Linked DNA regions of Drosophila melanogaster. The protein of the gene in region 1 purifies or fractionates together with the protein of each later gene. This does not show direct contact. Each region holds a gene or a part of one and is shown on either strand. Other genes may lie near its edges. The genes, in order: CG8839 and CG1227.

The links.
Region 2: the proteins of CG8839 (region 1) and CG1227 purify together in Drosophila melanogaster (affinity purification with mass spectrometry, with the first as the bait; one large-scale study listed by BioGRID). This does not show direct contact.

Annotation. Positions count from the first base shown.
Region 1 is NT_033778.4:12,338,987-12,346,446, forward strand, and holds CG8839 (uncharacterized protein), read right to left. Parts: upstream 5,632-7,460; 5' UTR 5,474-5,631; intron 3,111-5,473; exon of another isoform or gene 2,998-3,110; intron 2,945-2,997; exon of another isoform or gene 2,859-2,944; intron 2,797-2,858; 5' UTR 2,685-2,796; coding exon 2,502-2,684; intron 2,444-2,501; coding exon 2,224-2,443; intron 2,155-2,223; coding exon 1,580-2,154; intron 1,519-1,579; coding exon 907-1,518; 3' UTR 624-906; downstream 1-623. Other genes in the region: Den1 (deneddylase 1), read left to right, coding at 1-267; ana3 (anastral spindle 3), read left to right, coding at 6,100-7,460.
Region 2 is NT_033777.3:7,247,609-7,251,588, forward strand, and holds CG1227 (uncharacterized protein), read right to left. Parts: upstream 2,131-3,980; 5' UTR 1,813-2,130; coding exon 1,697-1,812; intron 1,637-1,696; coding exon 1,042-1,636; intron 984-1,041; coding exon 849-983; intron 794-848; coding exon 677-793; 3' UTR 543-676; downstream 1-542. Other genes in the region: CG10053 (uncharacterized protein), read left to right, coding at 1-511; Dtwd2 (DTW domain containing 2), read left to right, coding at 2,270-2,349, 2,412-3,087; Obp84a (Odorant-binding protein 84a), read right to left, coding at 3,233-3,327, 3,388-3,514, 3,568-3,632, 3,688-3,912.

The DNA.
Region 1 (7,460 bases):
AACAACACGGGCAACTCCCTGGAGCTGATGAACAAGATCAAGGACCTGCTTGGCGTCCGAATGGCCAAATTCCGGCCCATGCGCTGCCTACAGCAGGCGAACGGCTACGACTGTGGCATCCATGTTATCTGCATGACCGACCACATTGCCGATTACCTAAACAGATACGAGGTGATCGACGGACTGCCGTCGCTGCACATCGACACCGTGAAGGCGAAGCGCACCGAGCTACTGAAACTCATCCTGTCGCTGGGCGGCAAGGGCTAGAGGCTAGCGAGGATTGCCCTGCCGAACCGCCCACAGCCGAGTAGTTTTTAAGTGACCAAATTACGAATGTAACTCGTTGCCGAAGAATGAGAGGAGCATCGGAATTACATATGTGAATACGATATCCATGATATCGCTAGTTGTAGTGGGTTTAGTTTTCCTTGCCGAATGAAAATGTTTAAAAAACAAAAGCAAACTAAAAGCAATTGAGGCGGTGAGTCGGCATATTTTTAAGGTTGGTCTTTCAAAATAAAGATTTGTTTAGCCACAAAACGCGTTGGCTTCGAATTCAGAATTCTGACTTCTCTGCTTGTTTGGTCAATGGGCGCCTGTCGCCAATTAATGAAAACAAAGATATCAGTTGGTTGCAATTATTTATTATAAATGCAAAACGGGAACGGATCCGCGCGGATCTATGATTAGATTACATTTAAAAACACATACAAAATAGATAAATCCACATCGAAAATTGATATTACAATGAGGCACTGGAGTACACAAGGAATACCTTTCATCGCCAGGCGAATGCTCGGGTGGGTAGGGGTAGTTAGTAATGGGTGGGGGGAGACCAGGACGTTAACCTGACCACTACTATCTAAAAGCTAGCTAAGCTGCATACTTGCACGTTTGAGACTGCTCCTAGAGCCGAACTTCGGGCTTGGCCCAACCGCCAAAGGCTCGCTCCAATTCCTCGGCAACGGCCAAACAAAGTCGATCCTGATTGAAGTTGGCGATGATTTGGACACCCAGTGGCAGACCCTCGCTGCCCAGCTTGCCCAGCGGCACAGCGGTGGCCGGGAAGCCCAGCACATTGACAATACCAGTGTAGGCAAAGTTAATGGGTCGCGTAATGGGCTCATTGTGGTATGGAGCCACCGTGGGATGCGTGGGATAGATCAGCACACCATTATCGCCCAGCAGGCTTTGCAACTCCTCCCTCAGCTCATTTCGTTTGCGCACCAGATGATCGTACTTGGGAGATCCGTGCTTGCACTGTGCACTATCCATGATAGCTGTCGACAGGCCAATGAATGTGTGCTTGGAAGCGCCGAAGAACCACTTGAAGAGCTCCAGGTACGTGTTGATGTCATGATTCAGGTTGCCTAGCTGGTAGGCGAATCCATGGCCACTGTCGTCGCGCATGTTGGCAAACCAAATGGCCGCCGACTGCCGGAAGTGGGGCAGCTGGATGCGCTCCACTTTCTGATTGCCGAACTTCTCTCTCAAGTGCTGTGCCACGCGGTTCATGGCCTGCAGCAAGAAAGATTTCAGATTAGAGGATTTAATTAAGAAAGAAGGTCATTTATCTTACCTCTCTTAAGTCTGGATCAACGGCGGAAACCAAGCGGCCGCCGCCATCGGACTCTTGGTAGAAGAACTTCATTTTGGTTAGGTCCACATCCTCGTCCAGATTAAGCAGGGCCGCCTTCTCGCCAGCCATAATCTTTAGCATGGGTCGCAGGTCCTCGGCAAATCGTGACATAGGTCCCAGGCCGAGGAAGGAGTTCTGCTCGGCACTGAAGGGCGCTGGGAACTGACCGACATTGGAGACGACCAACTTGCTGGGCTTGTGGCCAAAGATGCCATTGAAAAAGGCTGGCATGCGAATGGAGCCGCCAATGTCGGAGCCCAAGCCAAAGGCGGAGGCAGCCGCCGACTGTATGCAGCCCTCGCCACCGCTGGAGCCACCGACAATGCGGTTAGTGTCGTAGGCATTCCTTGTCCTGCCGTGCACCGTATTGTTGCTCTCCCACCACATGCACACCTCGGAAACATTTGTGAGGGCTATGGGAATGGCTCCCGCCTTGCGCATCAAGGCCATAGCGTCCGCATCCCGCGCAGCACGCACATCCCGACGTTCGAAGAGTCCAGCTGTGTGCAGCATGCCTAAAGCCAAACACATGATTGAGCTATAGCAATGGTAATCCAATTAAGAAACTTATGGGAGCTACGCACCCTTGACGGATATGCAATCCTTGGTGGTAATGGGCACGCCCAGGAAGGGCTTCTCCTTCTCCAACTCCTCCGTGCTGTATTGTCCAGACTTGATCAGGGCATCTGCTTCGGCTGCCTCCTTGAGAGCTTGATCGTAACGTTCATCCACGACACAGTTGAGAATGGGATTCACCTCTTTGATGCGCCGGATAAATGATTCCAAGACCTGGACGCTGCTCAGCTGCTCAAGATGAGTGAAAGTTAGGTGTTTTGTAGATGAAACGATTGCACACACTCACCTCCTGTTTGCGGATTTTCCGTGCCAACGATGTGGCGGACTCCAAGAGAATGGCATCTGTGATCGGTGGAACACTCTCACCCTTTTGGCCATAGATCAGCCGGAAAACAAAGCGAATGCAGGCCTGGAGAATGCCGAAAATGTAACCACCAATGGCCTGGGTCAGTGGCACGCTCTTCGCCATTTTGTGGAATTCTAAGGAATGTGCGCCTGAAGAAGCTCAGCTACTAGGACTCAGAATTGGAACTGCGGGTGTTGGTGGCTGTGTACTTTGCCCTGGCCCATGTGTTATTGCTCTGGAATGTTGAAACGATAACAAAAATGAAATAAATGCATTGAAAATTCATGTTAAATATACTTAAATGAAGGAAGGCACTCATGAATGTGGTTTATTTGCAATTTAAACTGGTTTATCAGGCAACTTTTATAAGACCTTATATAGCAAAAGTAAAAAATAAACAACAAATCAGTAGAAATATAAAATTGGGTCAAAATACCTCGTTCTGGATTTATGATTGGTAATTCAGTCATTTAAGTCGGCAATTCATTTTATGGATATAATGGGTTTTACGCAATATATGAACGTTTCATATCGAAACGGAAAATTTCTATTTATGTGTCTTGAATTATTTCGTGTTTTCATGCCACAAAGTCTCATGATTTCGAATAGTATTTAGCATTACTTATCTACAATAATAAATGAAATTGGTGACAATTTTAATAAAAATAAATATAGTACTCATAGTTGTAGTTCTTTTCACACATCTCAGGTTTAATGACTCGGCAATTAATTGAGCCGTCCCATTCCCAGATAGGCCAAGTCCACACCTGTGTGTGACTCATGGATAGATGGATTCATAAAGGCACATAGGAAATATGGAATCTATATTCGAAATGTAGAACTTTTCTCCAAAGTGCATACATAGAGTAGGAAACCGCGATCATTATATTGGTCCCAAAACAAATAAAGTAACTGAAAATTGCACTAAAATTCAGCAAATAATGACAATATACGTATTGTATTGGGAAAAACGTGTATTTCCGGATAACGAAGAAAAGCCAAAGGAAGCCTATGCATAATACTTCGCTGTTCTGGAAAAGGTTGTTTAAACAAATGACTTTACTGTTCAACTCGTAAACATTTCACTGTTTACAAAAACGAACAATGGAAACTTGTATGGAATTGGATATATGTATACACACATAGATATATGGTTAATATATAGAGCTGGAATCGGGGCAGTATAATGTTTAAGGGAGCCATATGCCCGGCCAGAATCAGGATTTACCTCATTATCTTATCAGGAGTGCGCATCAGACAGCTAATTCGCTGCTTAAACACGAGAAGATAATGGCACAAAGGGAAGCAGACCACGGAGAGTGGTGAATAGCCGAAAAGCCGATCCCCGTCAGCTCACTAAACAGCCAGGTCGTTAACCATATCCACATCAGTACTCCAAATGGTATTACAGAAAAAAAAAAACCAACTGATAAGCGGAGTGAGTCACAGGTCGAAGCTGTTTGTTTATGCCATTCGTTTGCCATAAAAAATAGAGCAACAATTGAAATAGTCGGTTTTGAGCAATCCGAAAAGTGCTTCGTGAATGATTAGTGGAACTCAAAGTTCCCACTTCCTATCGCAATGTGCTTATCTACATATTAATAATAAGAATAATATGTTGTTACGATTTGATTATTCTATTAAGAATGCCTTTCAACATATCGCAGTCTGCTAATTGAACTGCCAGACATTCGAATTTTGAATGCAGTGAGTGCATTATAATCAAGTTCGCACTTTCAAATTGCGGTTGGGGTGAATATTCACGGGGGGGGTGGTGACAATTTGTCTGCCCGTGATTTTGAATAACAAACGAATAAAATGGGTAAAATTGCCAAGAGCATGCTATATGAAGTTCAAAGCACTCTGTATAATGAATGGCAATTATTTTAAATTGGTTTGTAAGCCAGAAATGTTCAGTAGAGCCGGGTTTTTCGTATTTTAAAGTTACAAATAGAAATTCACACTTTAATAGCTCAAAGTCTCATGAGGCCGGTTCCTAGAACTCACTCATAATATTTAATGGAATATCTTTTATAAGCCATTCAAAGTTTGATACTAATGGGTTGCAGTGACACAAATCAAATGGCAAACATTTTCCTGGTGCAATATAAATCTTTTTTGCTTCAGTCGGTCGAAGTTCAATGGGTGGAGATGCGGGACGATAATGGTCCAATAATCGGGCACTTAAGTGGCCAATCCGATAAGATTAGCCATAAATAATAATGAACTTGTTGCTTAGCTCCCCTTTTTGGCTCAGTGTCCAAAATATTCAATTGTAAATTACTCGAGCGACATCCAATCGGAATGTCAATCGCAGTTGCATGCCATTTCTAATTAGAAAAGAGTAGACGGGCCATTGATTTCCAACTGGATGGTGAGATATACATATGTACATATATGTACGCAAAAGGTGGAAAAGCGAAGGTTGCGACCGGCGAAATGGTTTCTGGGGTGTGGTAGGGGCGGCATCGGGGCGAGGGAGTTACCCGGGCGTGCGCCAGTGACATCATTTCGCTATTTCCATTTTCATTTCCAGCATATGCTTTGTTTGCACTACGAATTCATCAAGTGTCATTTGGCACTATGTGCGTACACTGTGCACATGTATGTGTGAGTAAAGTTTGTTTGCCTCAAAAATAAAGCAAACAAAAACATAAACTTAAAACAACACAATCCAACCGATGACGTCACGAGGGAGCCTTTTTATTGTTCAAAATGGAACAATGAATGGGTCACAAGGATAAGAATGATCAGAAATAGCACTTTGTTGAAGTTTAAATTGCAAATAACCGGTTGGCGAACAATGATTAGCGGTTACAAAGCGTTTGGCTGTATTCACAATCGCACAGCTACACTTTAGAGCGGCACGTAAACAAAACGATATGAAACCCAAGATAAGCATTTATACACACACACACACAGAGAGAAAAGTCTAGTTCTCCACCGCAGCGGCAAACAAACTCTATTATTTACCCGCTAAGCACAAACTCAAGTCCAATCAGATGGGCGACTTTTTTTTAAACCTACAGCGCTAGCGTGACCGTGCTTGCCATGCTGGGAAATAACAAACTCGGTTGCGACCAAATTATCGATAGACAAATATGGCAATTTAATACGCGTAGTTTAGTTTTGGTGAAATAAGGCAAATATCAGAGGCATAATTTATAAGATTATTAAGTAAAACCATATAAATAATATAAAAATAAAACAATTAGATGAATAAAAGTTCTTCAACAAAAAAGGGATTAGGTTCAAGTAATTGTTTATTATGTGTGAAAAGCACCTAATTCTTAGGGAGCAATAAAAGATTGATGCGGAATATTGTTCGTTGTTGCTGATGCGAGGTGTCAGGTGGAGAAATACTATTTTAATAGGTTTAGTATTTTTAGACCCTTATGCAGGGAACGCACACTCAAGCAGAGTGGCAACGCCAGCCAAAATTCGAGTTTGACGCTTTCAAAAATGACATCCTAAAACGTTTGCTGCCTGGAAGAGAAGTGAAAACGAACTAAAAGTCGGGTATTATTAGTCTAAGGAAATGAGTACCAAACAGAGCCCGGCCCTCCAGCTGGCGGAGGGGCAGCTAACCAAGCTGACTAGCGAATCGGAAGAGATCCGTATGCGCGCGCTCGACCAGATTGAGACGAGATTCATCAGGTGCCTGCAACTGGGCGAGCCGATACAGTTCAAGCCGGTCCTGCTGCTGAAGCAGCTCATCCGCTGGTTCGGGTACACACCGCCGCTGGTGCCCGACCGTGTGCTGGCCATGATTATGGAACTCCTTCGATCCGAGTACGCCGAGGCGGTGATTCGCAAGATTCCTTACGAACGCTTCAAGGCCGAGCTGCAGAAGGTTCGCCGTGTGCTACACAAGCAGGAGTCCAAGCGGGTCAGCGAATTGCTGGATGATATGAATTTGCTGCTTCTCGAGAAGTACAACATAGACCGGGTGACGCCGAGCGTCTCCAGCCTTAGTTCAAATGACATTCCCAGTCAGGCAACTGAATCCGCAGACAGCAGTTCGAATCAGATTTACGACAATCTGAAACCGGAAGATTACGAGCCCTCCTGGTCGCATCCGTGCTTGGACGATGTGGCCACCATGAAGAGCATGATTGATTTGCCACGAAATAGCGTTGAGTTGCAGTTGCAGCTCACCGAACTGATCATCCGTATGGGCGACTACCCAACTGAGTACTTTCTGCAGCCACCGTTCGTATTCTTGCATCTGGTTCAGTTGCAAACGATGACTGACGGTAGCCTGATACATGTGAACCGGGCACTAATTGCCTGCCTGCGGCTGCTGCAGCAGCGCATCTTGTTGCGCCGAAACACTCTGAGCTACGCGGACAGGTTCGATCCTCCGTCACGCCCCAAGCAAGTGAAGGTGGTGAGCGCCTTGGTAATTCTGCTGGAAAATTGCATGAAGCTGATTCGTCCGTTGCTGTTCAGCTGCACAAACGACAACTGGCACATAATGGAGCTGATCGTGGAAATAGTGCGGACCCACGATGTTCTCAGCTCAAAAATTCCCTTAGTGAGCATTACGCTCATCGCGGACGCGGTCAAAAGTCTGCTGGCGTATTGTAACAGTGTAGAAGGCAGTTGCATGACCCAGCTGATGGACTCGCTCAGGATTCCCCGCCTGCAATCGCTGATCCTTAACGGCGTGCTGCACGATATGGTGGCCTTAAATATAAACTATGACAAACGCATGGACCGACGCCAAGCCAAAGCACTCATCCAACCTATAGTTTTGGACAGCGCTTACCTGTCTGGCATGCCCGAGCGCATGAAGTCGCTAAACACTCTAATATCGTCTTTGGATTCTGGACCATCACCGGACGAGGAGTTGATCAAGCTGAAGCGGGCCTACAGCGTGGCCCTAAATCAATTACA
Region 2 (3,980 bases), on another chromosome or scaffold:
TCGTACTGAACCCGTGGGGATAACTATAAAGAGCGGTCGTGGAGGACTTGGGCGCGAGGCAGCCGTTGCAGAGTTGGCCCTCAAGCGGCAGAAGTTGCGGAGGGCACATCTCCTAAACAAGGCCGGCATTAAAAGCGACGAGGAAGTCAGTACAGAGGCTTATAGGAGGCGCGCGACCCATAAAGCGGAGGAGCGAAAATTACAGTATGACATAAAACGGTGCCAGCAGACCTGCGAATCGTTGGATCTTAAGTCCGCTATCACAGAACCAGATCTCGATTTCTTTTGGCCACCTAAACCAAAAGATGAAGATGAATCACAGAGCGACGCCGACGATCCTGAAGTCGAGGTGCCACCTAAGCAAGAACCATACAGTCCCTCGGAGCAATTAGAACTCCTCACTGGCTACCTGCGCACAGCCTATTGCTTCTGCTATTGGTGTGGGACCCATTACGATGACGCCGAAGATCTGGGCTCCAACTGTCCAGGACTCACTCGTGACGAACACTAGCTCCAATCAATAAAATAAAATAAAAAAACTAGCTTGATTGCTTACACATAATTTCATAAAATCAGCAGGTTTAAAATATTTTACAATAAGTAGTCAAAAAACAGTAAGCGGTGTATCTGGTTTGGAGGAATGTCTATAAATGAGTTGTAATCCAGTTAGTGGGAGCTACAAGCGACCCTCCAGTTTCTGTATCAGATCGTGGGTCCTTTCGATAACACTAAACACGAATGGCCGTTCCATTGGATCTGTTCGCAGCATGTACTTAATTAATTCGTGCATGTCCTAGACAAATATTTGGAATTAGTTTCCTTTACAATATAAAAAAAAGGTTTATTACCTCTGTGTAAATTGAATCCTCTGGAATGTTTATGTTCCCACTGAGCACAGCCAAAGCCACGCTGTCACCTCGCTCGTAGATGGGATCGTAGGGTGAATTAAAGTAGCACATTGCATAGAGCACACAGCCAAGACTCTGAAAGAGGGAAATGTTAAGGAAGAACTTCAATAACGCTCTCTTGGATCTGCTTTACCCATATGTCAGTGCGCTCGTCAATTGTGCAATATGTTTTCACGGTAAATAACTCTGGAGCCCGGTAGACAATGGAGCTCCTCTCCTCGGCTTCGTCCTGCAAGCGCTGAGCATCCGTCTGGCCCACAATCTGCAGTCGGGCTTCTGTCATTGACCCGAGATCCACAATAATTGGCTCAAAAGAGTCCGACAGGCAGATGTTGGCCGTTTTTAGATCTCGGTGGGCCAGAGGCACCGGCATTGCCTCGTGGATGGCCTTCAATCCCTCGCAGACGCCCAGAAAGATTTGCAGGATCTGGGCCTCGGGCATGTGGTCCTGTTTCCGCGATCGCAGCTGAAGGTGGTCCGCAAGAGATCCGTGCTTGTAATAGGGAAGCACAATGAACAAGGTGCTCGTTGTGTTTATAACTATGTCCGCCTGGCCCTTCAGCTCGTAATCCACTACCCGGATCACGTTTTCCGAGTCAATTTTTCGACAGTTTTCGATTTCTCGCAGAGCTATATTCTGATCATCGATGCTGTGGCAGGTGATGCGCTTTATCGCATAGCTACGTCGCGTGGAGGCGTTTTCCCCAAGGTCGATTAGACTGAAGCCCCTGTTTAAACACTCAGATTAGATATATCAGAGGAGATAGTGGGAAAAATGTGGTACAAACCCCGTCGCCAGCCTTTCGCGGATTGTGTATCGAGATCCGTTTATGTTCAGGGTCTCCTTGCGGCAACTAAAGAGGCAGCCGCGTTTCATGATCAGCGTCCATCCTATACTCTGCATTTTTCTTAAATTATGCTATGTACTTCACAACTTTAAGCTTAACAACTAGTTCAATTCACATACAAAATCTAAATAGAAAACACAAAGCTGAAGTGGAATGTTTATACTGGAACGAATTTATGAAGTTCGGTGATTTTTAACCATATTTGTAAGATTCTATATTAACTTTAACTTTAAAAACTAGGCACTTTCGTATTATTTTTACGATTTTAGTTTCTTGACGTATTAATAAATTAATATTTATTTTGATTCCTTGGTGTATAGATTAAAGGAATTCAAGATTCTGTCATCGCATAATCGCAATTTCACTGCACTCCAAACAGCTGATTCGAAGACAGGGCGGTCATATTTGCCATGTGGCTGTGTGCGTTGCCACCTAGTTGCGAATTGTTGCTTACGGATTTCTTATCGTGCGGAATATAAACTTAGCATTTTTCTAATTTAATCAATTATAAGTATGGAGGATGACGCGTGGCTGGACCTCGTGGGCATCAGCGCCGATCCGCCCAACAGACGCAACAAGTGCGAGAAATGCAAGTGAGTGGTGAAGCTGGGAATCTGCCATAAAAATTAAAGTATTTTCATGAACTCTATTATAGACGACCCGTGGTTGTTTGCTGGTGCCCGGCTTTACCGCATCCACCTGAGGCGGTGTCCTCACAGATTGTTATACTGCAACACCCTGCAGAGGAGAAGAGATCGCTACGCACTGCACTGATGCTGCAGTTGGGTTTGGAACCGGGAAAATGTGTCGTCTACAAAGGCAAGCGGTTTCCAAACCATAGAAACCATGCTGATCTGCAGAGGATTTTGGACTCTCCACAAACACTGCTTCTGTATCCCAGTCGGGACTCGGTCCCACTGGAAGAGGTGGACCACAGTGCGGGTCCTTATACACTGGTGCTCATCGATGGTACCTGGCCTCAGGCTAAAGCCATTTACGCTAGCAGTCCGGCTCTACACCGCCTGCGACAGGTGAAACTCATCGCCGTGGGTATAAGTGACTACATCATCCGTACACAGCCTACTGAAGGATGCCTTAGCACACTAGAGACCGCTGCGCAATGCCTGGCAGTGCTGGAATCTCGGCCAGAGCTGAGGCAAACGCTCGTGCGACCGCTGCACACGCTGTGCAAGTACCAACTAGACAACGGAGCCGTGGAGCACCAGTCCAAGGAGTTTCTATTGAAGAACAACCAGTACCCCAAGCCCATTGGCAAGCGGCTCAGCCGTCTGCTTAGAAACACCGCCTGCGATGGCAATGAGGAAACGTGATAGCCGGGGCAGAAAATACCAAATAACTTGCAGGTGCCTGTGCTTTATAGCCAATTTTGTGTTCCGGTCGTAGCCGTATTTGATTTAGTGACGCTAACATTATAATTTTCTACTGATAAGTCCGAGATGTGACCTTTGATGTTATTCATACAGTGGGTTTGTTTCTAGCATCCGTGAGGGCTCTAGTAAACACGCACTTGACGATGGCATAGCCCCGCATGCAAGCATTCGTCTCGTCCTCTGAGGATTACACATTAAAGATTTCGTTTGTAATTAAAAAGTTCTGCCTAGAACACTCACTGCCTTCAGCTTCGCAGGCCTCAACGGAATCGCCAGTGGCTGGCCAAACATATTTGCGCACCAGATCCGTATTTAACTTATAGTCCGTCATCAAACCGGACTTTTCGAAAAAGCAGTGAAAATAGCACTGCAAGTAATCTTTGAGTATCGGGAGGCGAAGGATCTGCAAAGCACACCTACCATGCTGGTTACCTTATCCTTGTCATCTGGCAAATCCCCAGTGTTATTAAACTGCAAGACATTGGCTGAAAGAGGCGATAAATGTAGTCATATATTGCCTTCGTTAACCTTTGCACTCACTCATCGACGTTATGAAACTAGCATTGCAGTTACGATTAACCTCGTCAAAATCTACGTAGTCAGCCTCTCTAGGAGCTGAAGTGGTGGTGGATATGTCATCCACATCGCCATCGAAACTATCATAGTTTATGATGAAAATATCACCATTATCCTTGGCGTGATCCTGTAGAGCCCTGGCACAATTCGGGCTCAAGATCAGAAAAGCAATGACAGCACAAGCTCTAACTAACGCGGAATACATCTTGAACAAACAAAGTGCTGGATGGGATTCTGTGACTGACCTTTTATAGATC